Linked DNA regions of Oryctolagus cuniculus. The protein of the gene in region 1 interacts with the protein of each later gene in a pairwise test. Links are inferred from orthologs where the notes say so. Each region holds a gene or a part of one and is shown on either strand. Other genes may lie near its edges. The genes, in order: THAP1, BAG5, RBM10, TCEA2, MRPL11, ZNF385C and FAM133A.

Region 1 (4,082 bases):
CACAGAAACGAGTGCAAGGCTTCACTGGAACAAGAGAGTTGCCTCGGTTGAGGAGGTCAGGAGCACGCGAAGCCCAGGAAAACAGGCTTCTTGTGGGAGGCACCGGAGAGCCTGCCTATTAAAGACCTACAGCTGCAGCAGAGCTTAAGCAGGAGACGCTGGAAAAGCAGAGGCGCCTGGTCCTAGAGGGCTTTGTGGCTGACCTTAAGACATCGGGATTTTGTTCAAAACACGAATAAACTGATGAAGCACAGGGGAGTGTCGGCTTCCATGAGGACTGCAGATGGCAAAGTCAGGGGGTTGCACCCACGGTGAGGGTCTGATCAAGAACAGGAGCTAAGAGCCGACGCTGCGGCACAGTGGGCAAAGCCGCCACTGCAGTGCCGGCATCCCATATGGCCGCCGGTTCGAGTCCCGGCTGCTCCATTTCCGATCCCGCTCTCTGCTGTGGCCTGGAAAGCAGTGGAGGATGGCCCAAGTCCTTGGGTCCCTGCACCCACGAGAGAGACCCGGAAGAAGCTCCTGGCTTCTCGGAAGTGAACCAGCAGATGAAAGATCACTTATCTCCCTCTCAAACAAAATACTTTAAAAATAAAGGACTCAAAAGAACAGGAGTTAAAGATGAAAAAGGAATGGACTTAAGAGGCGTGTACGGATTCTATAAAATTAACGTGGTGTCATCAAGGCGTTTGAAGACGACTCTGGTATAGACAGCCGTGGGACAAACGACTCGCAGGTAATACGGGAAGCAGGACAGATGCAGGCAGTTAACAGACGACCTGGGAATCACTAGCAAGCTGTCTAGAGTTCCGGAAACGCCCACGTTTCAGGGGGCAGAAAAAAGCAGAGCGTCCGAACCATGCAATCAGCAGTCCGCTCGCCGGATCTGCAGGGGGCAGGGGATAAAGAGGCAACGCCTCTGTGCGGTGGGACACTGCGCGCTACCGTCTCGGCAGCTGAGATGTCACCGGAATCCAATCGGCGACCTGGGAGAGCGGGCTGGCTCAGCTTGACAGCTGACCCCACACGCTGTATGTTTCCCACTCAAGGCTGCCCGGGGAAAACTCGGGGTACAGAACTCCGGGGAGCACCACCCGCGGCGCAGGGCTGGCCCTGGGAGCTTCGCCTTCCCCTAGCAGTCCCGGCCTAGACCCAAGTTCTGAAGCCCCGCCTCCTTCCGCAACGCCTAGCCACCGCCCCGCCCCACGACGCAGGAAACGCTCGGCCTCAGCCAATGGCCTGCTTCCTAGAAAAACGTTACCTCTGACCTCAGAGGCTACTCGGAGACGGTGGAAGAACTCCTCGCGAGAGGTGAGTTTGAAGCTGCCTCCGCCATCTTGGAGATGGGAGAGGGGCGATGGCTGTGGCCCTTCTGCTAATGCAAACTCCACAACGGGCGCGGTAGTCACCACCACCCCTCCCCGAGTGAAACCGTCTTCTCTGTAACCGTTGACCAAAGCTACAGGAGGAGAAGGCGTCCACACCGAGAGCTGCGACATCGGGAGCAGCTCCGCCTGCCTTCAGGGGCGGCAGAAGTGAAGGGACAGAGACCGGAAGGATGGTGCAGTCGTGTTCCGCTTACGGCTGCAAGAACCGGTACGACAAGGACAAGCCCGTGTCTTTCCACAAGTAAGTCCCCCTGCGCGCATCGCGGGGCCGGCCCCAGCCGGGGTGGGGGGCGCGCGGCCGGTTGGGCGCGGGGCGGAGCCGGGCGCGTGTCCGCGCGAGACCTCACGAGAGGGGCGGGGGCGAGGGCGGGGCGGGGGTCTCGGGCCGGGAGCCGGGGGCGTTCCCGGCCGAGCGGCGGTTCCTCGCGCGTCCGGACGTGGGCTTAGCGAGTTCCGCGCCTGCGGAGGGCGGATGGTGGCGGCCGCCGAAGGCTGAATGGGATAGGAGCGAAGGCCTTCCCCGTGCCCTCCCCCAACCCTGTTCTGTATGTATGTATAGGTGTGTGTGTGTATATATATATGTATATATGTATATAATATCTATATATACATATAGATATGTATATATGTATATATATGTATATATGTATATAATATCTATATATACATATATACATATATATATAATATCTATATATACATATATACACACATATATATATAAAGATTTGTTTATTTGAAAGCCACGGAGAGGGAGGGAGAGGTCCCTCATTCCCTCGTTCACTCCCCAAATGGCTGCCAAAGCCAGGAGCTCCCCACGGTCACCCATGTGAGTGGCAGGGGCCCAAGGACCTGGGCCATCCTGGGCTGCCTTCCTGGGTGCACCGGCAGGCAGCTGGGTGGGAAGTGGAGCAGCCGGGAGAAGCTGCTCTTTTAGGAAGGGAGAAATTCAGAGTTTATTTTGGCCAGGATATCAGGGAGGTGTTTTTTCTCGCAAACCTACGCCCCAACCTTAAGGATCCCAAAGATTGAGACAGCTTGTGGGTGTGCCGAGAGAAGACCTGCTCTCCCTGAGCTCCTAGTATGGTGGAGGCCATAAACTCAGGGCTGTTTTACCCCGCTGGTCCTGTGGCTCCACTGCTACAGCTGGGGGTAGGGGAAATAGACTTTTGAAAATAAAAAGCTGAGAGGTTGGGTTGTGGCGTAAAGCCGCTGCCTGCAGTGCCGGCATCCCATATGGGCTCCGCTTCCAGTCCAGCTCTCTGCCATGGCCTGGGAAAGCAGTGGGAGATGGCCCAAGTGCTTGGGCCCCTGCACCCACGTGGGAGACCTGGAGGAAGCTCCTGGCTCCTGGCTTCCACTGCAGCTCCGGTCGTTGCAGCCAACTGGGGAGTGAACCAACGGTTGGAAGACACACACACACACACACACACTCTCTCTCTCTCTCTCTCTCTCTCTGCGCCTCTGCTTCCTCTTTCTATGTAACTCTTTCAAATAAACAAATAAATCTATAAAAAACAAAAAAACACACAAAACTGCAGCATTGGATTACCTAAGGATACCAGATGCTCAGCAAAAGGAGATACAATGGCATTTTCATTCAGCCTGATTGTTTACAAATGTCATTACCCATGGATCCAGTGGTAAATTATATGAATTACTCATAGATGAATAATTACCAAGCAAAATGTTAAGTGTTGGGGCATTGTTATATTTTAAAACATTTGTTTATTTAAAAGGCAGGTGACAGGGAAGACTTCTGGCCAGAGAAGCCAGGAGCCTGGACCTCGGTCAGGTCTCCCATGTGGGTGGCAGGCACCATCCTCTGCTGCTTTCCCAGGCGCATTAGCAGGGAGCTGGATTGGAAGTGGAGCAGCCAGGACTCAAAGCGGCACCCATATGGGATGCTGGCCTCACAGGCAGTAGTGTAACCCACTACACCACAGCACCGGCCTTGTGTGTTTAACGTGTTTGATGTAATGTGAGATGAACCCTGGAGAAATAAGAGTGGGTAGAGCATGGAGACCTCCGGAATTGCTGTTCTTCTTGGAGAAGGGTCTGGAACCCAGGATTCGGCTCCATACGTCTTAGTATAACTGCTGGGTCTGTTAGAATGCCTGAGAAGTGAAGGACTCCCAGAGGCTACATCAGCGGATGGTAACAGCGTCCTCTGCATTCAGCTCCCCATCTCCCTGGCCCCCTTCGAAACGGGTGGCAGAGCAAATCTAAAATCCAAGGCAGGCGCTTCACAGGCACTGGAAACTAGCTCAGCATGACATTCGCACACCAGGAACGCTGTGTTTCTGCTCACTGACTCCAAAGAAGGGCTAGCCTCATCTCACTGCTTTCTAAAGGAGCAGGTTTCAGGAGCGTAGATGGGAAAGAGCCTGCCAAAACCTCACAGACACCTGAGAATGTGTAGTCCTTGGGAGAAGAGGTCCTGCATACTGAGTTTTTTACAAGCACTTGCTGCAAGAGTTGGTACTTCAGAGGCCTTTTGCAGCAGACATTTTTCTTTCTTTTTTTTTTTTTTTTAAGAAATTTATTTGAAAGAGTTACAGAGAGAGGTAGAACCAGAGAGTCTTCCAGTCCAGTCTGCTGGTTCACTCCCCAGATGGCCACAACAGCCAGAGCTGAGCTGATCCAAAGCCAGGAACTTCTTCCAGGTCTCCCACGCTGGTTCAGGGGCCCAAG
Region 2 (4,028 bases), on another chromosome or scaffold:
GTGCCCACTCGCGGTCAGTACTCCCACTCGTCCGACTTGAGGTCCAGGTAGCTGAGGATGTTTTGCGCCAGCTTCACGGCCTGCTTGCGCGCGGCCTTGCACTTCTCCTCGCCCTGCGGGTCGACCGCGTCCAGGGCCAGCAGCTGCTTGGTGAGCAGCTCCTCCAGCCGGATGTAGTTCTTGTCGCTGCGATTGCCGTCGAAGGACAGGACCTCCCCCTGGATCTCCGACAGGTTCCCCAGGACGCTCCAGACGGCCTGGTGGGACGGGTGCTCGGCGCCCACGCTCTGCTTCCTCTTCTCCAGCGCCTCCTTCAGGTCCACGTAGGTGACCAGCGTCTGCACCTCGATCACCGCCCGTCTGCGCGCCTCCCGGATGCAGGGGTTCTTCTCCAGGCTCACCTCGTCCAGCTGCCCGATGAGGCCCTGCAGCTCCGTCTTGGAGCTCAGGTACAGCTCGGCCGGGCTCTGCGCGCGCAGAAGCTCGGCCCTGACCTCCCGCGTCCTGGCGCGCACCTTCTCTATCTCGAGGATGGACTGGTTCTGGCCCAGGTCGAAGGCGCGGGTCGTGTCCGCCTCCTCCTCCAGCTCCAGGTACTTGAGCAGCTTGTGGATGTCCTCCACCACCTCCCTCCGGTAGTTCCTGATGTCCGGGTGCCCGGCCACGTCCAGCGCGTCCAGGTCGGCCAGCAGCCCCGAGAGCACGCAGGACAGGTGCCGGCAGGTCTCGTCGGCGCACACGCCCATCAGCAGCGCGACCACCGTGCCGCGGGCCTTGCTCACCGTGCACATCACGGCGTTGATCCTGGCGACGCACGGGTGCGCGTCCTCGGACAGCGGCAGCGACGGCTGCTTCCGCAGGCAGTCCTCCAGGATCTCCTGCACGGCGCACACCCTGCTCAGCGCGCGGTAGCGGGCTTTGCGCAGCGAGACCTTGCCGCCGGTCTTGACGTGCGTCAGCCGCAGCACGATGTCCTGCAGGCGCTCCTCCACCTCGTCCGCGGCGCAGCCTCCCCCGCTGTGCAAGGGCGCGATCTCGTCCTGCGCCAGCGCCTGCGCCTCGCGGAACAGGTTCCGGATCTCCAGGCGGCGCGGGTGGCTGGCGTTCTGCTCCAGCTCCTTGAGCAGCCGCTCCGTCTCCTGCGCCGCCCGCTTCCGCGCCTGCTGGACGTCCCCCCTGCCCTCGGTGTCCACGGAGTCGATCTCGAACAGCTGCCGCGTGAGCATGCGCTCCAGCCTCCGGTAGGCCTTGTCGTCCGCCAGCCCGCTGAAGCCCAGCACCTGCGGCTCCACGGCCTTCACCTCCCGCTGGATCTCCTGCAGCCTGCTGATGGCCGGGTGCTGGTTTCCCATGTCCATGCTCCGCTGCCTGGGCTCACGAGCGCTGCGGGGCGACAAGAGAGCTCATTCAGAGCGGCCGCCGGCAGGTCCGCGGACCCCGGCCGGCAGGCCCAGGGCCAGCCCGAGGGGCCGCCCGGCCCGCGGCACAGAACAGCCCGCAGGGCACGCCCGGGCCAGCAGAATGCGGGACAGGCCCCGCGACGGGGCCCCAAGCTCCGCCGGGGCTCCCCGCCCGGGACAGCGCCCACTCTGCCTGCACTGCCTCCCACGAGGGCCCGCGGGCGCCGCCGCGGGCCCGGGCCTCCCTCCCTCTCGCACTTTACCCGGCGGAGGTCCCGGCTCCCCGGAGGCGCGGCGGCGAGGTGGAAGATCAGCCCTTCACCGGGTGCGGCGGCGGGGCCGGGCCCCTAACGGCATCCCCTTCAGCCCCCCGGCTCGGTCTGGACGGGGCGGCCGGTGAAGGGGCCGGCGGCGGCGGCAGCTACTGGCCGCAGCGGCCGCTCCGGGCGTCTCGGCCCCGGGCCCCCGGCTCGCCGCCGGCCCTGACCTCACAATGGGCGCGCGGGGGAGGCCGAGGCCCGGGCGCCCCGCGAGGACGGGCGGGAGGGGCGCGGAGCGGGGCCCAGCCCGGCGGGGAACCCGGCCAGGCGCGGCCGCGTGGGAGCCCGTGGGGGGGAGCAGGGTGGCCCGGCGGAGCCCCGCGCCGGCGCGCGCGCGGAGAGAGCAGACGCGATCGCCGGCGCCCCCGCACCACTCACCCGCGCCATCACGCGCTCCGCTGCCGCCCACGACTTCCGCAGAGCCCGCGGCGCCCCCGTCCGGGGCCGACCACCCCCAAGCCCTGGGAAAAGACGGCTCCGCGCCCGCGCCTCACCTCGAGCCGCGCCCCGGGCCTCTGGGACGACAGGGATCGGGGAACTGTCGCCGGCGTTCGCCCGCGCTGCCCGGTCCCGGCAGGCCTCCTCCGCGCCGCCCCGTCCCCACAGACCCCCTCCGCGAGCCGTGTCACCGCGGGAAAAGCGCGCGGTCGGCCCCTCCGCGGCGCGCCCGCCGGCTTTGCGACCCTGCCGTAAGGCAGCCCCGCTCGCCGTCGCGAACGCCGCCGGGTGCCGCGGGAGCAAGGTGGGCGCGGCCCCATGGCGGCGGTGCGGCGGGCGCCGCGGACCCTCGTCCCGCCCCTCTGCCGGGCCTTCGCGGGCGGCGGCGGGCGGCGGGCCCCGGAGCGCGGTGCGGAGCGCAGGGAAGCAGCGCCGAGCGGGGTAAGCGCGCTGCCGGGGCTGCCGGGCCGCCCCCGGTCTGGCGCCCACCGCCGCGGTGCACGGACCTGGTGTTTGCCCGAGGGCGAGTTCCAGAAGCGCCCGGAGGGGCTCGGCGAGTGGCTGCGGCCGCGGCGTGCGGCCGGCCGTGCTTGTCCTCAGGCGCTGGCGGGCCGGGGCGGTGAGGCCGGCGCGGAGCCGGGCCGGGCAGTGGTTACGGAGCGAGGAGAGGGGCGGTGAGGCCGGCGCGGAGCCGGGCCGGGCAGTGGTTACGGAGCGACGAGAGGGGCGGTGAGGCCGGCGCGGAGCCGGGCCCGGCAGTGGTTACGGAGCGACGAGAGGGGCGGTGAGGCCGGCGCGGAGCCGGGCCCGGCAGTGGTTACGGAGCGACGAGAGGGAGCCCGCTGGCCGTTGCGACACTTTGGGCCTGCGGGTTTTCGTGCGGCCGCCGCCCCGACTTCCGCTCCCACGCGCGCACACCCACCAGGCTCGCGGGTGTCTGGGGAGGATTCAGCCTCTGAAAGGCGCTGGCGGGGGCAGCCGTGTAGCAACGAGAGGGTTGCGCGGGGTGCGGCGTTTCCGCGGCCGGTTTGGGCGCCGGTGCCAGCGCCGCAACAGGTCCCGCAGGCTGCTTGCTGGAGAACCGGACCCGCGCAGGGGCTGTGCGGGCCGTGTGGTCAGGTCCTGTGCGGGCCGTGTGGTCAGGGGCTGTGCGGGCTGTGTGGTCAGGTCCTGTGCGGGCCGTGTGGTCAGGGGCTGTGCAGGGCCGTGTGGTCCGGGGCCGTCTGGGACTGTGTGGTCCAGTGGCGTGCAGGGCCGTGTGGTCAGGGGCTGTGCGGGCCGTGTGGTCCGGTCTGTGCGGGCCGTGTGGTCAGGGGCTGTGTGGGGCTGTGTGGTCCGGTCTGTGCGGGCCGTGTGGTCAGGGGCTGTGCGGGGCTGTGTGGTCCGGTCTGTGCGGGCCGTGTGGTCAGGGGCTGTGCGGGGCTGTGTGGTCCGGTCTGTGCGGGCCGTGTGGTCAGGGGCTGTGCGGGCCCGTGTGGTCAGGGGCTGTGCGGGCCGTGTGGTCAGGGGCTGTGCGGGCCCGTGTGATCCAGTGGCGTGCAGGGCCGTGTGGTCCGGTGCTGTGCAGGGCCGTGTGGTCCAGGGCCGTCTGGGGCTGTGTGGTCCGGGGCCGTCTGGGGCTGTGTGGTCTGGTCCTGTGCGGGTCGTGTGGTCGTGTCCTGTGCGGGCCCGCGTGGTCCAGTGGCGTGCAGGGCCCGCGTGGTCCAGTGGCGTGCAGGGCCGTGTGGTCCAGGGCCGTCTGGGGCCGTGTGGTCCGGTGCTCTCCGGAAGAGGCAGGGCAGAGCCGGAGCCGCTTGGCCGCGTCCAGCATTGTGACCCCCGCCGTGTGCTCGGGGTCCGAGTGTCCGTGCTGCCGGGTGTTGGAGGGAGC
Region 3 (4,147 bases), on another chromosome or scaffold:
CTGCTAATCCAGTTATTTGAGCTTGGGCAAGCCGTGTATCTCTGTGTTTCTATTTCCTCATCTGTAGAATGGGTGTTAATCAAAAGTGCCTACCTCAAGATTGGGTGGTTTTGAGGATTAGATGAGTTAATGTATCTAAAGTGCTTAGACATAGACTGGCACCGGGCAAGCACCACCTCGGGGCTTTTAGTATTAGCATGGTTACCCTACTATATTGCTTCCAGAGTGTTTACGGCATTTCTGACTTTAGGTTTGCAAAATAAGGCCAACCCTGCCTCTGGCCCCGGACCGTAGGTATCAGGGGACAAAGGAAGAAAATAAGTAACCAAAATTCCCACGTCTTTAAGGATTTCGCCAGCTGCGCAATCCGCAGCTGCCTCAGAACGTCCTCTGCGGCGCCCCGTCCGCCAGTCCCCAATTGGCCCTTTCGGCGTTCCGTCCTCCCTCCCTCTCACCTTCTCATAGAGGTTGTCGTCCTCGGGATCTGGGTCCTCCTGCCAGCGTATGGTCGGTTCTGCAGGCCGCTTTCCCGCCACAGCGGACGGGGCGACCACAGCCCTGGAGGAGCTGGATTGCCAGCGAGCGCGGACAGCCGGGAGCGCTCGCGTAGCCGCTGCGGCCCAAAAGCGGCGAGCGCACAAACCTAACATCCCGGCCGCCATGACGAAGAGTGCGGCAGGGTCTCAGGGGCGGAACGGAAATGCGACTGTGCGCAGCTGCAGTTGGTCCGAGCGCGATAATTGTCGCTCCACCCCGCCACACTAAATAGGTCCCAGGTCCGATTTTGTTTGCAAGTGAGGCGGGGCGTCGAGGAAGAGCCCCCTTACCCTCCTGTTGTCATGGCCTCTTGAGAAATTTGCTATTGCTAGGTCTGCACATAACTTGATAGGAAGGAAACAGTGACATTTGGGTGGCCACGGCTTCCAGCCAATCGCCCAGAGAGTTCCCTTGCCCTTTAGGGAAAGAGGTGGAGCTTCCGCCTGCCTTTCATCTTCAAAGGAAGCCAAGCTTCTAAAAAGCGGGCCTCGCTGGATTGGCCAATAGCGACTTTTTCTCGACTTGTGGGGCGTTCTCACGGGGAGTGGGGAGGTGGCCTACGCGTGCCAATCAGAGGCGGCCAGGGCTGGCCGACGGCGAGCGGCGACCAATAGAAGAGGCCGGCCAGAGCGCGCTCCCTTAGTAGGTGGATGGTGGTCGGAGCGCCGGCTGCCTTCTTGTCGTCGCCATTTTGTGCTGCTGATTGCGGCCGGCTGGGAGTAGGCGGCCGTGAGTTTCCCTGGGAGGGCAGCGCACTTGGCGCTTCTCCCTTCTCCTGCCCCTCCTTTCTGCCTCCAGCTTTGGACTTGATTGTTGCGCGCTCCGGCTCCGACTGAGCTGGGAGACTTGGAGGAGGTGGCGGCGGGCCGAGGTGATGCCTGGGAGCCCTCCCTTGACAGCCCGGGCCGAGAAGGTGAGCGTCGACGCTGGTCGTGGGGGCGGAGGTAAGGGGTCCCGGGCGGGGGGTTGCACAGATGAGGCATTGAGGGCGGACTGCGGGCTCGGGGCACGCGTGGATCGCAGGGATGCGTGCACGGTCAGAATCCGGGAGGGGGTGTCTTCCCCCCCCTCCTTGTGAAATCTAGGGCGCGTGCGCGATTGGGACACGGGATGGGTGCACGCGGGCTGGGGGAAGGGAGGGACGGATGGGAGTGGGTTACTGTAGCTGTGTTTGCTTGCAGAACTTTATGCAGGTGTCTGCGACTTGGGTGTTTATCCATAGGGGAAGAGGTGTGCTGGCTGCTCTCTGTGATACTTTGGCACTTACCGATCCATGGGGAAGTGCTCGGCGGCTCTGGTCCTTATTCATGGGGCGGGCACTGAGGGGAAAATGTGCAACTCTGGCCTTTATCCTTGGCGGGGCGAGGGGCGACTCTGGTCCTTATCCGTGGGGGGGGGGGGCTACCCTGTGACGGGCCCTTACTCATTGGATGGGAGAGGGGTGCAGAAAGCGTGTGTGTGTGGTGGTGGGGGGGGGGAGAGACTTACCTCCCGTTCTTTTGAGGAGTTCATACCATTGAAACGGGGCTCTGTGTGTGATTAAGGCCCTCGCAGTGGGGTCTGGCTGTGATTTTGGCCAGTATCTGTTGTGGATGCCAGAGTCTGTTGAGGATTTCCCATCTGCCTTGCAATCGCCGGGGCCCCTGGTTGTGATTCTGACTTTACCCATTGGGAGCAGGTAACTCTGGTTCCCTGTGGTTTGGGGAGGAAAAGAAGATTGGTGTGTGTACATGGAGGAAAGGTGTGGTGGCGACGACCTCGTGTTGAGCAGGTGCTGTTACCCGCCTGGCTTCACCCGATTCCTGTTGAGAGGGAGGAGCCTGGAGATTGTGGGATACATTCCGACCCCTGCCTATGTTGTCACATAGTTATCAGGAGTCTTAGACCTTGCACAATCCCAAGGGTTGTATGAAGTGACTGCTCCAGCCCAGTAGAAAGGGCCTCCTTTTGCTTCTGGAACACTTGGGCTCAGAGCCCTAGGGAGCCAGCCACCTTGGGACCCGGCTGCACATCAGAGACAGGGCTGGGGGCTGAGCCAGTTGCCGTGCAAGAGCCAGGAGCCCAGGGAGGTAGCAGTTGTCCTGTTGCCGAGGTAGTCCCCTTCACACACACCTCCAGAGCCTTTCAGGGTGTCTTGCTGCCTCGCAGGGGGCAGCCAACATCTTGTTGGGAGAACGAAATGGTACCTTGGGGCTCATGGACAGAGCCCAGTGCCTGCCCGGATCTCCCACTATTGTAAAGTTTTGCCTCTGTGCCTAGACTTGAACATGTCTACCATGCTCAGATGGCAAAACCCTGGCCACACAATGACTGGCCCCACCAGGTCTCTCTGCAAGATGTCTCCTGTCTGATGAAGGCCTTGTCTTCCAGGGCTGTGGGCTCCAGTTTTGTGTTTGTGGGTAAAGGAAGGAGCAGCCCAAGTTGGGGCTGCCTTCTTGTAGCCTGATCCACACAAGCACTGGGCGTTGAAAAACAATATCCGTGGGCTACGGGACAGTAGAGAGCCTTGATAATGAGGGTTTCTCACTGCCTTGACCCCTTTCTTCCCTCTACTCTCCCCAGAATCCCTGCAGGAGGCATCACCCAGGCTGGCAGATCATGGTGGCAGCAGCGGGGGTGGCTGGGAAGTGAAACGGAGCCAGCGGCAGAGGAGGGGCCCCAGCAGCCCCCGCAGGTCCTATCAGGACATGGAGTATGAAAGACGGTGAGTTTTCTGCCCCCCCCCCCCCTTCCGAGGAGCCTCGGCTTGTCCCGGTGTGAGGATCCATCCAGGAAGGTGTGTCAGTAGGGGCCTTCCAAGCGGAGGATACAGTACAACAGGTGATTGGTTTCTTTTCAGCCGACGTGTGTTTGGCACCTGTTGTGAGACAGGATCTGTGCTAGGCTGTGAGAGTGCACTGATGAATGAGACAAATAAGAACGGCATCCCCTGTGCTCAGGATGTCACAAGGGGTGCCACACAGTTCATAACGGTTACAAAACAACTTGATGGGTAGTGTAGTTGGAGGTAAGGGCGGGAAGGGATCAAAAGAAAGGAGAGAATTGAGGCTGATGCCAGGTTTGCAGCTTGCGTGACCCGGATAGGTGTGTGGCACCATTCACCAAGGTGAAGGCAGACTCTGCAGGGGGAGGGGGAGGAGAAGAGGCAGGAGGTCAGGTCTGTAGACTTGGGTTTGAGGAATGGATGGGAATGCTGCCTTGAGTTAGGAATTTGGTCAGGCAAGCCAGGTCAGATAATGGGAGACTCCAGGGACAGAGGGGGCTGCACTGGGCATGATATTTTTCTTGAAATGGATACATTCACATGGTTATTTTTGTCAGCTGTGGTATGTGCAAGAAACAGTTGGAATGCTGGGTAAAATCCAGAAATCCTGGGTAAAATTCCGTAGTCCTTTGCTATCCTGGTGGGTCACCCCAGGTAATTGTGAGGCAGGTGATACACCCATGATATTTTAAGATTGCCTGAGAAACCAGATCTAACTCTCTCAGAAAGCCTCTATTAAGAATCAACGGATTTATAAAAGGGGTGAGGAGAATTGAAAGATAAAGCTTAAAATATTTTCAAAGGATTTCTTCTACCATTAGCCCTCTTAAAAATGGAAAACAATAT
Region 4 (4,091 bases), on another chromosome or scaffold:
GCAGCAGCTGCGCCAGATGCAGGGCTGGGGCATCTAGGGGCCCTCGAGTCAGCTGGAACCCACCCCTCTCCCTGAGGCCTGCCTCTCCGGGCAGCCTGCGTGGTTGGCACCACCTGGATGACAAGGGTCTGGCTTGGACGATTTCTGAAGCCATGATTTCTGGGTCCCGAGGCGGCCCCAGTACTGGCCCACAAGACCCAGCCAGCTCCTGGGTGTGGTCACTCATCAGCCGTCCAGGGTGGCTGAAGGATGTGTGGCTCCATCCTCCCTGCTGCCCTGACGTGGCTGGACGCCCACCCCCGCCCTGACTACGGGCAGGGCAGCTTCTGCTGGCCTGGGAGACTGGGGTGTGGTGTCCGCCCACCATACAACCTGGGAACAGCCACAAGGAATTCATGCTTTTCCTCGTGGTTAAGGTGAGTCCCGCACCTGCCACCTTCAGTGCCGCTGAGCGCCTAAGGCCTGGTGTGCCCAGCTGCCCCCAGCAGTCCCTGGCCCGCTCTCTGCAGCCGCCAGCACCCCATCACTAGGAGGCAGGCAGGCACCGGTCCTGGCCCCGCACCTTGGCACTCCTCAACTCTCCTGGGCCTGGGCCACCCTCTGTGTTGTGTGGTCTGGCCCCTCCTGGGGACTTCAGCTGTGGCAAAAGCCAGTCTCTCGCTTATCCGGGTCAGTGAGTCAGCTTGCCTCACCCCAACAGCAGCCCTGCCAGGCACAGGTCAGGGGTCGGGGCGTGGAGCCGCCAGGTACAGGGACAGGGGTCAGCTTCTGGCACCCCTTCCCCATCAGCCTGACCAGAGGAACCCACCCTCCTGCCGGCTGTGGGGCTCCCCAGTGTGGGCGGGCAGCTCCGGGAGCCAACCCCGGGCAGAGGCCCTAACGACCCAGGCTGGGTTCTGGGACGGCGCCGTGGTCGCACGGACCGAGGGGCAGGGTTGGCGGGGTCGGGGATGCTCGAGGACAGAGGAGGGGGAGCCGGCCGTGAAGGGACCCGGAGCGGCCTAACGGGCCCGGGCCGTTCGGGGGGCGGGGCTCCTGGGGGCGGGGCTCCAGGGGGCGCGTCCAGCCCGCCCCGCCCCGCGGCCCTCGCTCAGGGCGGTTTGCGGGGCCCGAATTCTCCGCAGGAGGTCGCCGCTCCCAGAGGACCCTTCCCAGCAGGCGGGGCCGTGAGTGCGGGGGCGGGGCCGGGGTCGGGGTCTCCACGGGGCCTGCGGCGGGGGCGAGGTCGGCACACTCGGGCGCGGGGCGGGGCCGGCGGGGGCGGGGCCGGGCGGGCGCGCGCGAACTACGCGTCCCAGGGTGCAGCGCGCGGCCGCGGGGCCGGGGGTTTGAGCCGAGGGTCGGCCCGCGGCGGCGGCGGCGGCGGAGGCGGCGGCCGGGGTCGGTCTGAGGCGGGCGCGGGGGCGCTGCCCCGAGGCGATGACGGGCAAGGAGGAGGAGATCGCGCGGATCGCCCGCAGGCTGGACAAGATGGTGACCAAGAAGAGCGCGGTGAGGGGCGCGGGCCGCTGGTACCCCCGCCCCGTCGAGACCCCGCCGAGGCCGCCGCCCCGCGTCAGGCCCGGGAGCCCCCACGGGGAAGGACGAGAGCCCCGGCAGAGACCCCTGGGACGCCGGGAGACCCCCGTGCCCGGGGCAGGGACCCCCGCCCGGGCCGCCCCGCCCTCCCCCTGCGCCCCGCAGACCCGAGGCCCGGCCCGACCCCCGGCCCAGGAGCCCCCGCCGCACGCTGGGCCCGCCCCCGGCCCTCGCCCCCACTCACGGGCTGCGGGGCCGAGTCCTCGCCCCTAGGGGCCCGGCGCCTGCGGCAAATGCCGCCGCCTCGACCGGACCCCACGGCCGGGCCGGTCCTGGAACGGCCTCACTCCCCGCAGCACCCCTGGCGACCGCCCAGCACCGCCGCGGTGGGGAGGGGGCGAGCATCCCGCGGACCGGCTCCGTGCACGGGACCTGTGCTGTCCCCGGGGCTGCGAGCTCCCGGGGCGGCCCCAGACGGCTGAGTCATGGGCTCCGGGACCGCGTGGGGGTGGGGCGGGTTCTTGTGGATGGGGTTCTCCAGGAACGGGCCCGACTGTCAGTCATCCTGGAAGCAGCACCCCCACCCCATTGTTTTCTCACCCCCCCAGGCCTGCAGCAAAGTAGGGGCGCTAGACTGGCTGGGGGAGACTAACAGGGAGGGGAGCGGCTGGGCAGGACTCGCTCCCTGGGAGGACAGGGAGGGAGGCCAGCACCTGAGAGCTGAGAGCCCCTTTTGGGGTCCGGAGACCTGGGAGAGCCAGCTTCCCCGTGTGCAGTGCCGGTGGGAACGCGGCCCTGGGAGATCCGAACTCGGCACAGCGCAGGAGCGGGGCCTGCCTGGGAGAGGGATCTGCGTGGTCACCCCCGCCCTTCTGGTCGGAGAGACACACACCGCACTGAAGGGATGGCGCCCGCAGGGAGCAGTGGGGGCGGGGGAGCTGGCCCCCCCGAGTCCCACCTTTAAGGAACAGAGGCTTGGCTGGGCACAAGGCATTGCAGGGAGGTGGGGCCCACACCCATCAGGGTCCTGGACCTGGGGAGCCTGGAGGAGCGGTGCCCGAGGGGAGATGCCCCTGTGTGTGACAGCCTGAGCCCTCCCCTACCTGGCCATGGCCCTTGGCGTCTGTGCTCCTGTGGTTTGTTCAGTGACCCCACATGGCTACGGTGAGGTTGTTGCGTGGATGCTGGACGGAAGGTCACGGGACCATAGGGACAGAGCCTGCAGAGCCACTTGGCTCCTTATCCTGGGTGCACCGGCTGGTGGGCGGAGCCCTGGTGTCTCCAGGTGGAGGCACTGAGGCATGGCCTATGGGCAGGAAGAGGTGGGATTGTCCACTGAGCTCTAGGAAGCCCCCCTTTCTCCTTCCAGGAGGGTGCCATAGACCTGCTGAGGGAACTCAAGGCCATGCCCGTCACACTGCACCTGCTCCAGGTAGGTCCTTGCCTGCCCCCGGCCTGGGGCAGCTCCTGGGAGAGCAGTGTCCAAGGGCACACTGATGGGCACAGGCCTGTTCCTGGCTCTGGCTCTCAATGAGACGTTTCGATATCCCACCCTGTCCTCGTGGGTTCTACTGGGAGATGTCAGAGTCCCCCTGGGGGCTCCCCACCACCCCCCGACCCAGGCGGCTTGTTCACAGGCCACTCGTGTGGGGATGTCGGTCAACGCCCTGAGAAAGCAGAGCTCAGACGAAGAGGTCATCGCGCTGGCCAAGTCTCTCATCAAGTCGTGGAAGAAGCTGCTGGGTGTGGGTCGGGCAGTGAGGGCTCTGTGCTTGGAGGAGGGGTGCCCAGGGGGTGCTGGCCTCCTGCTTGTCAGGCACAGTGCTGCCTGGAGCTGGAACTGGACCGGGGCCTGCCTTGGAGGTGCTGCAGGAGGCTGGGGCCCCCAGAACCTGCTGGGCCGGGCAAAGCTGAGGTGCCCAGGGCCAGGGGGGCAGGAGGTGGCCCAGGGTGGGGGCACTGGTACGAGTGGGCTGTGCCACTGGGACAGGAAAGCAGCCATGCCTCTGGGCCCTGGGAGGGGGAGCCTTCCTAGGCTGTCCTGGGCACTTACCTCTGTGAGGCAGCCACGTGACCTGTGTGGCCAATGGACACATGCGACACACATGTGGGCTGTCCCCAGTGCAGGCCTCCCAAGGCGTGGGGTTCAGGAGGAGCCTGCTCTGTGCTGGAGGGTGGACCCAAAGAGACCCCCCCTAGGCAAGAAAGGGTATTGGGGTGGTGGCCTCCTGGCTGGGGCAGGGACCGGGACCGTGGCCGAAGGCGGTGGCCAGGGCTCTGCTTTGCTGGAGTCCTCTGTCCCCTTCACTCACTGCCTCTTCTCCGGAAACTGCAGACGCTTCAGATGCCAGAGCCAGGGACCGGGGGAGGGGTGCGCCTCTGCCTGCCTCGTCCTCCAAGGCCGCCTCCGAGGCCACGGATCCCAGGTAGAGCACCTGGGGAGCAGGTGCCGCTGTGACCCTGGGCGGTGGTCAGGGGAAGCGTTGGTCAGCCCAGTCCCACCTGGCTGGGTGTGCCTTGCGGTCAGTGAGCTGCTCTGGGTCTTCCCCTGCCTGCCTACCCTGGGGCCTGTC
Region 5 (3,964 bases), on another chromosome or scaffold:
TGCTCCGGGTTCACCGTCCGTGAAACGGGTTCTGTTCACGAAGATAGGCGAGGATCTGCTGGACACGTCTTCCAGCCAACCTTCTAAGTATCGCTTCCCGGCCACGCCACCACCACCTGGCCCAGCCCTCTGCCTGCCTCCTCCAAGCTAGGGTGACCTTTTCAAAATGCAAATATGATGCAAATGCATGCCCAGCACCCTTCGAGGGCTTCCTCCCCCACCCAGGGCTGCAAGACCTGGCCCCCAACCCCTGGTCCCGCCCCCTCGCCTCCACTGCCTCTGAACCTCACACGCGACCTTGAGGCATTTCCAGGGGTCCCTCCCGGTAATCAGAATCATCCCAGCTGTGCCTCCACTGACCCCAGGTGGAGTTTGCCAGCCGCCGGCTCGCCCTGGGCTCCCTGATTGTGCCGGTCAGCTACCTGATGGCTTCACCCAGGAAGGATTTGTTTCTTTATTAGTAAATAAACTTGTGAATGAAGGTCAGGCACACAGAGATGGATCAGACCCAGCCTGCTCCCCCCGGCCACCATGAATTAATTAATTTATGAGAGAGGCACTTTCTTTTTAAGATTCATTTTACTTATTGAAAGGCAGAGTCACAGAGAGAGAGAGGTCTTCCATCTGCTGGTTAGCTCCCCAAGCGGCCGCAATGGCCGGAGCTGGGTCTCCCACGTGGGTGCAGGGCCCAAGTCCATAGCAGAGAGCTGGACCGGAAGTGGAGCAGCCGGGACTCGAACCGGCCCTCATACGGGATGCCGGCACTGCAGGCGGCGGCTTTACCGGCTACGCCGCAGCCCCGACCCCAACTAGATGAGAAACAAGGATTTAGTACGGACGCCCGCTCTGAGCAACAGGTGCGGTTATCACGATGTCCAGCAGACGGCGCTCCAGCGCACCAGGTCGCCTGACGTGCACGAGGGGCCTTAAAACTACCGCACCCACAATGCCTTGCGGCACCGAGGGCCCGCCGTCGTGCTTAGCTGTCCGAGGCAGTGCCTGTATGCGCTCCTGAAAGAATGCGCGTAGCGAAGCCGCTCGGGTCCTTCCCCCTCTCTGCAGCAGGCCAGTGGGGAGGTTCTTTTTTTTCCCTTTCTCTTACTCTCCCGGCCTTACCCGTTAAGACTGAAACAGGCTGATGCTTGTTGGCCTCCCCTGCCCTAGCCCCTCGTGAGGCCCCTTGACCTCTGGCCCAAGATGGCGGCGCCCAGGGCGTAGCTCTCGCTGAGGTGAACCACAGCCAGACGGCCGGCGGCATGTCGAAACTAAGCCGGGTCTCTCGAAGCCTCAGGAAGCCCGAGGCCGGCGGCGTGATCCGGACCATCGTGCGGGCCGGCCAGGCCATGTCCGGGCCCCCCCTGGGCCCTATCTTGGGTCAGGTGCGCTCCTGGCCGGAGCCCGGCGCGGGGCGCCGGAGGGCCGGGATGGTCGCGGAGCCGCGTGCACGCTTCCAGCCCGCGTGTTGGCCTCCGCAGCAGGCCGTGGGGGGGACACACAAAGAAGTCTGTGGCGCAGAGAGCGGGAGTCGAGTGTGGGTGGAGGAGAGGGGCCGCGTGGGCGCGGCCGGCCCCGCTGACCGCCGTGTTGCTCCCGCAGCGAGGCGTCTCCATCAACCAGTTCTGCAAGGAGTTCAACGAGAAGACCAAGGACATCAAAGAAGGCATCCCCCTGCCCACGAAGATCCTGGTGAAGCCCGACAGGACGTTTGAAATCAAGATCGGCCAGCCCACCGTGTCCTACTTCCTGAAGGCGGCCGCGGGCATCGAGAAGGGAGCGCGGCGGCCAGGTGAGGGCCGGGGCGGGCGCCCGGGAGGAGCCGGCGGCCAGCGCCTGAGCGCGCGTGCCCCTTGCTCCCAGGGCAGGAGGTGGCGGGCCTGGTGACCCTGAAGCACGTGTATGAGATCGCGCTGGTGAAAGCCAAGGACGACGCCTTCGCCCTGCTGGACGTCCCGCTGTCCTCCGTCGTCCGCTCCATCATCGGCTCTGCGCGGTCACTGGGCATCCGCGTGGTCAAAGAGTGAGTGCGGAGGGGGCCTCTCGGGTTCTGGGGGGGGGGGGGGGCGGTGCACCTGTTGCGTGTTAGGTGTCGTCCTGGATGTGGGACGCGGCTTAGGCGGGGGCAGCGCTGCTTGGCCCACGTCCGTGTGGCGGCCGCGCGGACCCACGGGTGCGTGTTGGGGCCGGGGTCACCAGAGCAGCCAGGAGGGTTGCTGGCTGGGCGTGGAGTGTCCGTGAGGGGAGGGGCTACATCTGAGCAGAAGCCGGGAAGAGACCGAGGGCTGGGGCAGACGGTCCAAGGACGGAGATCTCCGTGGAGTCGGGAAGGGCGGGGGGCCTGGGTGCAGAGCCCCCGGGCAGGGTGGGAGGGTGTGGACCCGAGGCCGACAGGAGGGAGGCCTGCTCCTCGGCTTCAGGTGAGCTCAGGGAGTTGGGGGTGTCGGGCCCAGGCGGGGGCGGGCCGGGGAGTAGGAGCCCTGCGTGTCCTCTGCCGCCGAGTCAGGCCCCACCCGCGGCTCACGGTCGCTTCCCGGAAGCGCGGGCGCAGCCTGGGGCAGAGGGGGACCGGGCCTTGCTCACGTCTTAGCTTTTGCTGGGACGCAGGGATGAGTAAGCCCGGTCCTCTGGGGGAGACACAGGCACAGCCCCCCCGGCTTCCTGGGGCACAGGGCGAGGCCGGCTAAACTGGACTGGAGCCCGGCTGGGTAGCGATTTAGTGAGAGGATAAAAGGCCGCGGGCGGCTTTTCTGGCCGAGGGAGTGCGGAAGCTGGGGGCCGAGCAGCTGGACTCTGACACGGGGACACGGGCCCCGAGAACCGGGTGGCAGCTGCTCACCACCCGTCCACCCGTCTGTCTGCCTGTCCACCTTCTGTCCGTCCATCTGCCTGCCTGTCCATTCATCCGTCTGCCTGTCTGTCTCTGTCCGTCCGTCTGCCTGCCTGCCCATCCGTCTGTCCATCTGTCTGCCTGCCTGCCTGTCCATCCGTCTCCGTCCGTCCGTCTGCCTGTCTGTGCGTCTCTATCTGTCCATCTGTCTGCCTGCCTGCCCGTCTATCTGTCCATCCGTCCGTCTGCCTGTCTGTGCGTCTCTGTCTATCCGTCCACCCGTCTGTCTGCCTGCCTGCCCATCTATCTGTCTGTCTGTCCGTCTGTGCGTTTCTGTCTGCCTGCCTGCCTGTCCGTCCGTCTCTGTCCGTCCGTCTGCCTGCCTGCCCGTCTATCTGTCCGTCCGTCCGTCTGCCTGTCTGTGCGTCTCTGTCTATCTGTCTGTCTGTCCGTCTGTCCATCTCTCCATCCGTCTGTCCGTCCGTCTGTCTCTCTCCACCTGCAGCCTCAGTGCCGAGGAGCTGGCGGCCTTCCAGAAGGAGCGAGCCGCGTTCCTGGCTGCCCAGAAGGAGGCGGATTTGGCAGCCCAGGCAGAGGCCGCCAAGAAGTGACCCGGCCTCGCACACCCACAGTTCTGAGGCAAACGGCTGGGGCGGGGCCTGTGCCGAGGGGGAGGAAGGGCGACCGCGCCACCCTCATTGTGACTCTCCTGACTGGATTATGTATTTCTACGCTCATGGCTGCGTCAGGCCTGAATAAATGTCTCTGTCACCATTCTCAGCCTCTGTCTTGGGACCCAGGGAGGCAGCCCTGGGGTGGGCAGGGGTCTTCACGCGGCTCCTGGGACACAAACCGAGGCTCAGCCGGCAGAGTGGTTTGGCCCACGCCTTAGCTCATTTTCTGTTCCTGTAACAAAATCCCTGGGACTAAACACCACCGAGAGAAAAGGTTATTTGGCACACGATCCGGGTAAGTGGAGGGTCCAACAGCATGGCGCTGGCGTCCAGTGAGGCCCCCGAGCGTCACCTGTGGCAGAGAAGCAGCAAAGGGAGTCATGGGCAGGGGGAAGGGGCCGAGCGTGTGGGGCAGCCTTGCCTGATGGTGGCCGACTCCCTCCTGTGTGCCCGCCTGTCCCGTGAG
Region 6 (3,500 bases), on another chromosome or scaffold:
CTCTTCAAGCGCGTGGTGTTCGGCCTGGGGCGGCTCAGCCCGCGCGCCCTGTGCGCCAGGCTGGCGTGCGCGCACTCGGAGCTGCACGAGCTCTTCCCCGACTTTGCCGCCCTGGCCGCCCTGGCCCTGGCGTTGCCCGCGGGAGCCGGCCTCTTGGACAAGGTGGGCCGCAGCCGGGAGCTGCGGTGGTGGGGACAGAGCGGGGCAGGGGAAGGCCGCGGCGGCCACGTTGTGAAGATCGCTGTGGATGGGCCGCCGCTGCAGGACTTTGACTTCGCGCTGGCTGTGGAGTTCTTAGAAAGTGGCTGGGGGGAGGGGCTCCTGGGGCCGCAGCCCTCCTGAGTGTGGCCTCCACCCCCCGCCCTGGACCAGCCTCCCGGGGTCTCTGGGCACTCCCAAGAGCAGAGCCAGACTTGACCGTGCCTCACCTCAGCTGACGGCTAACTGTGCCCCCTTCCCAGGGGTCCTGAGACACCTTCCCGGTCTAGAGCAAGTGGGGAGACGCTAGGGCTCCCTAAACCCTTCCCATCCTTTCCCCTTCTGAACTGGGCTGGTTCTGGTCCTAAAACGTGGAGGGGGAGTAGAGGGGGCTCTTAGTTAGGTCTTGGGGGACTGAGGCGCTGTGGGAAATGAGAATGAGCCCTCGACTCTTGGCCCACTCCTGGCTGCACCCCCTCTGCGCCCCAGCTCATGGAACCAAGGAGGTAGTGGGGCCCCCTCCCTTCTCCACCTGCTTGGGGGGGCTTTTCTCTATCTGACCGTACATGTTGACATAAAAATCTATCAGTGTGAACCCATCTGTCCCGTTGTCCATAGTATGAACACAAAATCAAAACGGACTGGATTGAGTTCTCATTTTCTTTGTTTTCAAAATCGGCTTGCTCTTCAAGTTCCCAGCCCTCCCCCTGCTGCTGCCTGGGACCCTTAAGACCAAAGACTGCAGAAGCACGGTGTGGTGCCCTGCTGCCCCTGCACGCCTGGCCTGCGGTCACTTGTCCTTCATAAGGGAAGCATCTGGGGCCTGACCTGAGCCTTGGTTCTTGTCCTCCAGCCTCCCAGGGGTTGCTCATCTCCTCCTGTGCCCAGAAGGGTGCGGGATCTGGAAGGCGGGACTAGATAGTGAGGGGGAAGGGGCTGGCCTTTGCACAAGCCCCCTGAGTGGGTTTAATTTACAATAAAGCAGAAACCCAGTGCATGGCACCATCTCCATGGTGGTGTGTACCTCAGGGGCCAACCTGACTCCTGCCCCTCCTGCCCTGGACTCTCCCAGGGGGTTTCATTTGGCCACTGTGTAGCCTTTGCTTCTCCAACTCTGGGGAAGCAGAGCCCAGCAGTGGGGGCTGCCGTCGCCCTGGGCTCAGCTGCCGTGACTGTAAAGAGAGAGACGAGTTTCTGCTCTGGTTCTGCACCCAGGCAGCCCGTCTGGCTCTCGTGCTGGCTGTAGAGGTAGGAGAGAGCCCTGTGGCTCCCCAGTTCAGACCTGCCTTCTTCCTTCTGCAGCAGGCCCGGCCTCCAGCGCCCCCAGCCCCCTTCTGGGCTCCCTGCCCCTGCCCACGCGGCCTCTGCAGCCCCCGCTGGACCTCAAGCACTTGCTCGCCTTCCACTTCAATGGCGCCGCCCCGCTCAGTCTCTTCCCCAACTTCAGCACGGTACGGGCTGCGCTGGCGGTGGGGCGGGTGGGGACGGTGGGCTCAGAGTGGCCAGCTCGGCAGCTGCATCCAGCCATCATCCCCCGCGGTGACTGGGGGCTTCCCAAATGAGGACCCGTGGGCCTGGCTCTCTCCTAGACTGGGGAACAGGATGGAGTCACTCCCTCTCCACCCCCACCTTCATCACTGCTGGGCCTCCAGGGTTTGCCGAGTACAGACGTCACTTGAGTGTGTGTACAGGGACTTCTGGGTCAGTCATGTGTGCCTTTCTGTTGTACTTCATGTAGCTCCTTGGTGTCATGTGTGGATGTGTGTGTGTGTGTGTGCGCATGCGTGTGCATGTGCGTGAGTGCCTGGCGGATCATTGTGTCGTTAATGGGAGTGCCTTCATATGTGCAGGGTTCTTTTTTTTTTTTAATTGAAAGGCAGAGTTAGAGGCAGACAGATCTTCCATCTGCTGGCTCACTCTCCAATGGCCACAACAGCCGGAGCTGGGCTGATCAGGAGCCAGGAGTTTCTTCTGGGTCTCCCATGCAGGCGCAGGGCCCAAGCACTTGGACCATCTTCCACTGCTTCCCAGGTCATCGGCAGGGAGCTGGATCGGAAGTGGAGCAGCCGGGTCTCAAGCCGGCACCCATCTAGGATACCAGTGCTGCAGGCAGCGGCTTTACCTGCTGTTCCACAGTGCTGCCCTCCCCCAGGGGTTCTTCTGTCTGTGGCTTCTGTAGCTGTGTTTGGTGTGTGCTTGTGTGGTTTGAGTGACTGAGTTCATCTATGGTCACGTGTCTCCTGGTGGTCTGTAACTTTGTGACGGCTGTTAGCTCCTGTGCCATGTGTCCATCCGTTTCACGTGTGGGTGACAAGTGTTGCAACTTGGAATTTTCCTCCGCCAAGTGAAGTATAAGGAAACCCCCCTCCACAGACAAGCCCCTCCCATCTGGATAAGACAGCAACCAATTCTCTCTGGGGCAGGAACCCCTTCCAGCACCCGCTCCGGGAGGCGCACAGAGGCCCTAGGGAGTCTGGGACATGTGGGGAGGGTCCTCTGCCCGTCCTTGTTCTGGGGCAAGGTCTCTCGAGGGCCGCTGAGACCGCTGCCATCCTAGTTGCTGGGCTGTGCCCCCCTGCGCTGCTGTCCCCTAAAAGTCTGGAGCCCCGAGTCCTGGGAGGTCAGCGCCTGTTTCTGTTCTCAGGGAAGTTCTGCACCCAGGCCCTTCTCTCTCCCCTGGGAAGGTCTGGGAAGTTCCTCTTGACAGGTTCAAATTCTTGCCCCTGAGAAAAGGGAACCTAAGGGCTTGGTCTGATCGAAGAAAAAAAATTACTTACAATGCTGGGAGAAAGAACCCCACTCAAGCGAATGTTCCAGAGAAACAGTGCTGCCACTTGGAGGACCCTCAGGCCACCCCTCGCTGCCCCTGGCCAGGGCTCTCGCTGCCAGGCTGCAGGCCCTGCACCAGTGGCACAGCTGACAGGACAGGCTTCTCCTCCCAGCCCCCAGCGCCGGGCACCAAGGCTGGGTTACAGGAGTGAAGGGTTCTTTGTCCCTCCCTGCCTCCTTCCCTTGCCCAACTCCCATCCTGATGGTTTGATGCTTGCAAAGGAGAAAAATAAAACAGAGACTAGAGGGGCAGCAAGAGATGCCCAGGTGTCCAGCAGGACAGGATTCTATTTCTCGAAAGCATGTGGGTTGCCCTGGCCATCCCCCTGCCAGCATCCAGTGCTGGCCAGGGAGAGGCTGTCTCGTCTCTGTGAGGAGCAGGTGCAGGGCGGGGAAGTTTCCCGGAGGGGCTGCCCCTCTGCCCTCCTCGGTACTCTGCACTTTTGGCCTTTTGTACTGCTGCCCGCCGCCAC
Region 7 (3,997 bases), on another chromosome or scaffold:
GAACAGGGCATCTACCTTGTCACATTCATCTTGAATATTTCTGAGTGCCTGCACACGATTTCTAACTGCCTGAGGTAGCCTATCCACGAAATTTCTACGCAGTGGAGCCCGCTGAACCCCTCTGGAAGGCTCGGGAAACCTCCTCTTTTTATATAAGCGGCTGCGGCTGCTGCAACTGCTGCTGTTGCTGCTGCTGCTGCTGTTGCTGCTGCACCTGCTGCTAGAACTGCTCTCAGATTCTGCCCCAGAATCACTAGCCGAGCTAGCCATCTCCTCTTCAGCAACCCCCTCGGCGACAGGTTCCAAGACCATTTTAAGATCCGCTTCAGCCATATGGAAAGCCTGTAAACCTCTTAAGTGGTGACTACCGCAGAGAGCGCGCGCCCAGAGATGGGCAGAAAATGACTCACGGATGCTTGCGGCAGCGGCGGCGGCCGCGGGGAAGGCAGCAGCAGCAGCGCACGGCGGGATGGGGCTGGGACCGAGGCTCCGGCGGCGGCGGCGGCGGAGGCGAGACGGCAGAGGCACTGGCGGCCTGGACGAGAGTGGCGGCGGCAAGGCCTCTCCAGGCAGCAGCCACGGCCGACCTAAGCGTGCCGCAGTCGAATGGCGCAGTATGAGACCCCGAGATCTCTTCTCGCTTGGGATCGCGAGCCCCCTCCCCTTCACACTTAGACTGCCCGTTAATTTCCTACCCAGCGTGCCTTTAGTTGGCTCCTTATTTGCTGGACAACCTTGATTGACAAACGATATGTCCAACGAAAGGCCAAACGCAACGGTTCCCCCCGCAACACATACACCAAGGCTCCGCCCATCTTCCCAGACGCTCTTTGGTGGGTGAGACTCGAACCCTTGGAAGCCCCCCCTCCCAAAATTTATCTTTGTGATTTTATAATTCACAAAAAGCGCAGACACGAGGTTAAAAAAAAAATACAAGCCATAGTTTTTTAACCACATAAGAAGAGGAGTGTCTTCCTTCTATCCGCCCATCCTGAATTCCCGCTTGGTTTGTCACGGGCCTCTTGACAAAAAAAAAAAAAAAAACGTTTTGAAAAAATTGGATGAAAATTTTCTAAATGGAGTCAATGGGTAGTGTGACTATGGATGATTTCTTTCTTAGGAAAAGCGTTATTCCTCTGCTCTGTGAGCATCTACTTTTACACTGGGAGAAAAAGGGGCAGTCGTTTATTGGGACGGGGGAGGGGCTAGACAGCAGGCATATTGCATTCCACGTAGCAGATTTAATAAGTGCTGTCTGTGATGTTTGGCAAGCCTGGTTTGTATCCATCTACAAGGTTTGCGAACCCATGTTGCCGTGAGTCAGTTACACCATTTTTATTTTATTTCTATTTTCTAAGCTGGCATATAATATACCCCAACCTTGTTGCTAACGCGCCACATAGCCCTTCTCAAGGCTTGCAATAACCTTGTAAATAAAAAAGGGGTATTCAATATTGCTAATATTAAAAAGAAGACTGTTTGTTTTATACTTTTGTGCAGCAGGTTTCAATTCCAGGAACAGCAGGATGGGGGGGAGGGGGAATTTGTGCTAATGAAAGTGCATCCTCTGTCAGCATATAAAATGTAATCTGCCACCAGTTTCCTTCTAGTATTGTAAAATTCCAGCCATATTAAAGTATGACTTACAAGTCCAGTAATATGTGAACAAACTTTCGCAAAATGAAGTTTAAAGATAGATATGTGTTGTTTTTATTTACAGGATTCTTTTCTGCTACAGAACAACTCCCTTGGTAAACCCAAAAGACCAGTGTTTACTTTTCACTGAAAGGTAAGGAATGCATTTAGCCCATTTTTATGAATGACAGGGATAACCCATTTGTATTTGAGTAAAAATTCACAGGATAGTATTTTAGAGATTTAATTGGATGATATCTTGATATTTCTATGGGAACAGAAAAATTCACAGAAGTGATTTGGCATACTAATGTACAAAACAACTACTTAACCACATTCACTATATAAACTTGGTCATAGAATACAAGTAACAAGACATAAAATGTGATGAATTATTCATTTTGAATGAAACTATGTTAAAGTGAGATAATTTTATATTACATTTTTATAGAATTTGTGCTTTGACATTTAGTTACACATTTTTTTTAAAGTTAGGGAATGCTTTTAAATTTTGTAAATGCATTTACTTTTACTCCTTAGCGCTGATTGTAAAAGTATATGAACATTGTAAAGATAAAACCCCAGTAGAGAAAAATTCCAATGATTGGAAAAACACAATCTTAACAACAGAATGATAACTGTTGCTAGCATTTTGGGTGCAATTCCTTCTAGAGATTTCTTGTGCATATTTATAAACACCTGCATATATATGTATATAATTTTGTCTATGTGACATTTTAGTATGTTTTGTAACCTGCTCATTCATTTATCATTTAATTATGACTATACGGTTCATGGAAAATGATCAACATCTAATTTTTAAATAGAGGCATATTCCATGGAAATAGTTGTCTTAATTTATTTCATCTAATTCCTGTTGTATGGTAACTCTTTCCACACTATCTCTCCACTTATATCAATACTTTTTTACTTGTAAAAAATATTGCTCCTAGGCAACCAGAGCAGGTGCACTTATGAAAATTTGTAATAAGATAGATTACTAAGCAGGGGTGCTGGACTAAATTAAATTGTGTGTTCATTTTAGCATTTCATACGGACTGATAAACTCTCTCTAGAAAGATTATAACCATTTACAGTCCCACCAATAGTGCATAAGAGCTCATTTAATCATTCAACTAATATATTTTTGTGCTTGTCACGTACCAGGCACTCGTTGTAGTGGATGCCAGTATAATAGTGAGTAAAACTTAACTGGATGCATATGTTTTCATTTCACAATTTTAATGAAAGCATTTTCTATAGAACAGTCATTTAAATCAATGGGTTTTACCATAAATATTATTCTGCAGCTTATTATTTTCACGTAAAGTGATGGATATCTTTAAACAAATTCTCTTATGTTGATGGCTTTTTTATATATGTTAAACTTTGTACCATCAAAGATTAGTCTTAGAGTTAGTGATAAGATAGGAATCCAGATTACAGTATTTTAATGATTTTATATGCATGTTAGATGTTGTACTATTGGGAGTTGGTATTTAGGAGTTAGTGATGTTAAAGATCCAGATTTTTGAAGTTCATTTTTGTCAGCTAATTCTTTGAGTATCATTTATTTGAGAATATGTATACTCCATACTTATTTGAAATTCCAAATTAATCATATTAACTGATTTGCCTGGGTCCATTTCTTAATTCTCTCCTTTTTGTTCCATAGGTCAGAATTTTTACGCACAAAACTAATTAGGTAGTTTAAAAATAAGCTTTTATTTTGTGGAAATGATACATTAAAAATGTATATATTAACATGATATCATTAAAAAAGCTAGATAGAATAGTTAACTACTAAGAACTACAAAGGAATAATTAAAAATAACTATAAATACATGAAGAAGTGATTGCCATTCACATTTTTAGATGAACAACGCCAAATACATTTTTCAATATTATGTATTTGTATTTCTTATATTAGTAGTAAGACTGAATGTTTTTTCATGTTTATTGTTCACTGAATATTATCTATTCATGTTGTTTGATTGTTTTCCACTGAATTAGAAATTAAAAGGCGGTGAAATTCTAAAGGTACAATGACTTTGACCATGATAAGGCAACCATGGCTGCTATCAACCAAGACAAAATCAAATTAGTCATAGATAACTAATAATTACATTTATGTAATTACATTTATGACCATTACAGTCTGGGAGACAAAAAATTCAAGTAGCCTTGAAAATGTGCCCCGAAAGGGTGTGTGTTTTTCTAGCTTAAACTTCAAGGGGGCAGTTAAGTTCATCTCCTGTTTGTCAAGAATTATCATTCAGGCACTGGCAAGAGTTTGCAAGAAAGGGATGGAGAACAGTCTTAGGAAGTGAGTGGGATGACCTCACAAACTGCTAGAAAGATT

Evidence for each region.
Region 2: the proteins of THAP1 (region 1) and BAG5 interact in binary tests that used the Homo sapiens proteins (3 or more experiments, as listed by UniProt). The two-hybrid records come from large-scale screens. The link is inferred for Oryctolagus cuniculus from reciprocal best matches to the Homo sapiens genes THAP1 and BAG5.
Region 3: the proteins of THAP1 (region 1) and RBM10 interact in binary tests that used the Homo sapiens proteins (3 or more experiments, as listed by UniProt). The two-hybrid records come from large-scale screens. The link is inferred for Oryctolagus cuniculus from reciprocal best matches to the Homo sapiens genes THAP1 and RBM10.
Region 4: the proteins of THAP1 (region 1) and TCEA2 interact in binary tests that used the Homo sapiens proteins (3 or more experiments, as listed by UniProt). The two-hybrid records come from large-scale screens. The link is inferred for Oryctolagus cuniculus from reciprocal best matches to the Homo sapiens genes THAP1 and TCEA2.
Region 5: the proteins of THAP1 (region 1) and MRPL11 interact in binary tests that used the Homo sapiens proteins (3 or more experiments, as listed by UniProt). The two-hybrid records come from large-scale screens. The link is inferred for Oryctolagus cuniculus from reciprocal best matches to the Homo sapiens genes THAP1 and MRPL11.
Region 6: the proteins of THAP1 (region 1) and ZNF385C interact in a two-hybrid assay, tested with the Homo sapiens proteins (3 studies listed by BioGRID). The two-hybrid records come from large-scale screens. The link is inferred for Oryctolagus cuniculus from reciprocal best matches to the Homo sapiens genes THAP1 and ZNF385C.
Region 7: the proteins of THAP1 (region 1) and FAM133A interact in binary tests that used the Homo sapiens proteins (3 or more experiments, as listed by UniProt). The two-hybrid records come from large-scale screens. The link is inferred for Oryctolagus cuniculus from reciprocal best matches to the Homo sapiens genes THAP1 and FAM133A.

The regions. Positions count from the first base shown.
Region 1 is NC_091433.1:92,919,832-92,923,913, reverse strand, and holds the start of THAP1 (THAP domain-containing protein 1), read left to right. Parts: upstream 1-1,282; 5' UTR 1,283-1,558; coding exon 1,559-1,629; intron 1,630-1,781; exon of another isoform or gene 1,782-1,935; coding exon of another isoform or gene 1,936-1,937; intron 1,938-4,082. UniProt on the Homo sapiens protein: DNA-binding transcription regulator that regulates endothelial cell proliferation and G1/S cell-cycle progression.
Region 2 is NC_091451.1:46,388,092-46,392,119, forward strand, and holds the start of BAG5 (BAG family molecular chaperone regulator 5), read right to left. Parts: upstream 2,801-4,028; 5' UTR 2,665-2,800; intron 2,600-2,664; coding exon of another isoform or gene 2,477-2,599; exon of another isoform or gene 2,408-2,476; intron 2,376-2,407; exon of another isoform or gene 2,099-2,375; intron 1,806-2,098; exon of another isoform or gene 1,664-1,805; intron 1,384-1,663; 5' UTR 1,359-1,383; coding exon 15-1,358; 3' UTR 1-14. UniProt on the Homo sapiens protein: Co-chaperone for HSP/HSP70 proteins. It functions as a nucleotide-exchange factor promoting the release of ADP from HSP70, thereby activating HSP70-mediated protein refolding.
Region 3 is NC_091453.1:32,690,546-32,694,692, forward strand, and holds the start of RBM10 (RNA-binding protein 10), read left to right. Parts: upstream 1-1,347; 5' UTR 1,348-1,411; coding exon 1,412-1,481; intron 1,482-3,099; coding exon 3,100-3,241; intron 3,242-4,147. Other genes in the region: NDUFB11 (NADH dehydrogenase [ubiquinone] 1 beta subcomplex subunit 11, mitochondrial), read right to left, coding at 456-662. UniProt on the Homo sapiens protein: Binds to ssRNA containing the consensus sequence 5'-AGGUAA-3'. May be involved in post-transcriptional processing, most probably in mRNA splicing. Binds to RNA homopolymers, with a preference for poly(G) and poly(U) and little for poly(A).
Region 4 is NC_091442.1:143,420-147,510, reverse strand, and holds the start of TCEA2 (transcription elongation factor A protein 2), read left to right. Parts: upstream 1-1,291; 5' UTR 1,292-1,419; coding exon 1,420-1,491; intron 1,492-2,887; coding exon 2,888-2,950; intron 2,951-3,155; coding exon 3,156-3,261; intron 3,262-3,853; coding exon 3,854-3,944; intron 3,945-4,091. UniProt on the Homo sapiens protein: Necessary for efficient RNA polymerase II transcription elongation past template-encoded arresting sites.
Region 5 is NC_091432.1:5,444,218-5,448,181, forward strand, and holds MRPL11 (large ribosomal subunit protein uL11m), read left to right. Parts: upstream 1-1,164; 5' UTR 1,165-1,256; coding exon 1,257-1,379; intron 1,380-1,596; coding exon 1,597-1,786; intron 1,787-1,857; coding exon 1,858-2,017; intron 2,018-3,329; coding exon 3,330-3,435; 3' UTR 3,436-3,598; downstream 3,599-3,964.
Region 6 is NC_091448.1:20,724,716-20,728,215, forward strand, and holds part of ZNF385C (zinc finger protein 385C), read left to right. Parts: coding exon of another isoform or gene 1-342; exon of another isoform or gene 343-844; intron 845-1,500; coding exon 1,501-1,649; intron 1,650-3,500. Other genes in the region: C17H17orf113 (uncharacterized protein C17orf113 homolog), read left to right, coding at 1-342.
Region 7 is NC_091453.1:56,414,792-56,418,788, reverse strand, and holds the start of FAM133A (protein FAM133A), read left to right. Parts: upstream 1-1,197; 5' UTR 1,198-1,315; intron 1,316-1,720; 5' UTR 1,721-1,789; intron 1,790-3,997. Other genes in the region: NAP1L3 (nucleosome assembly protein 1-like 3), read right to left, coding at 1-333.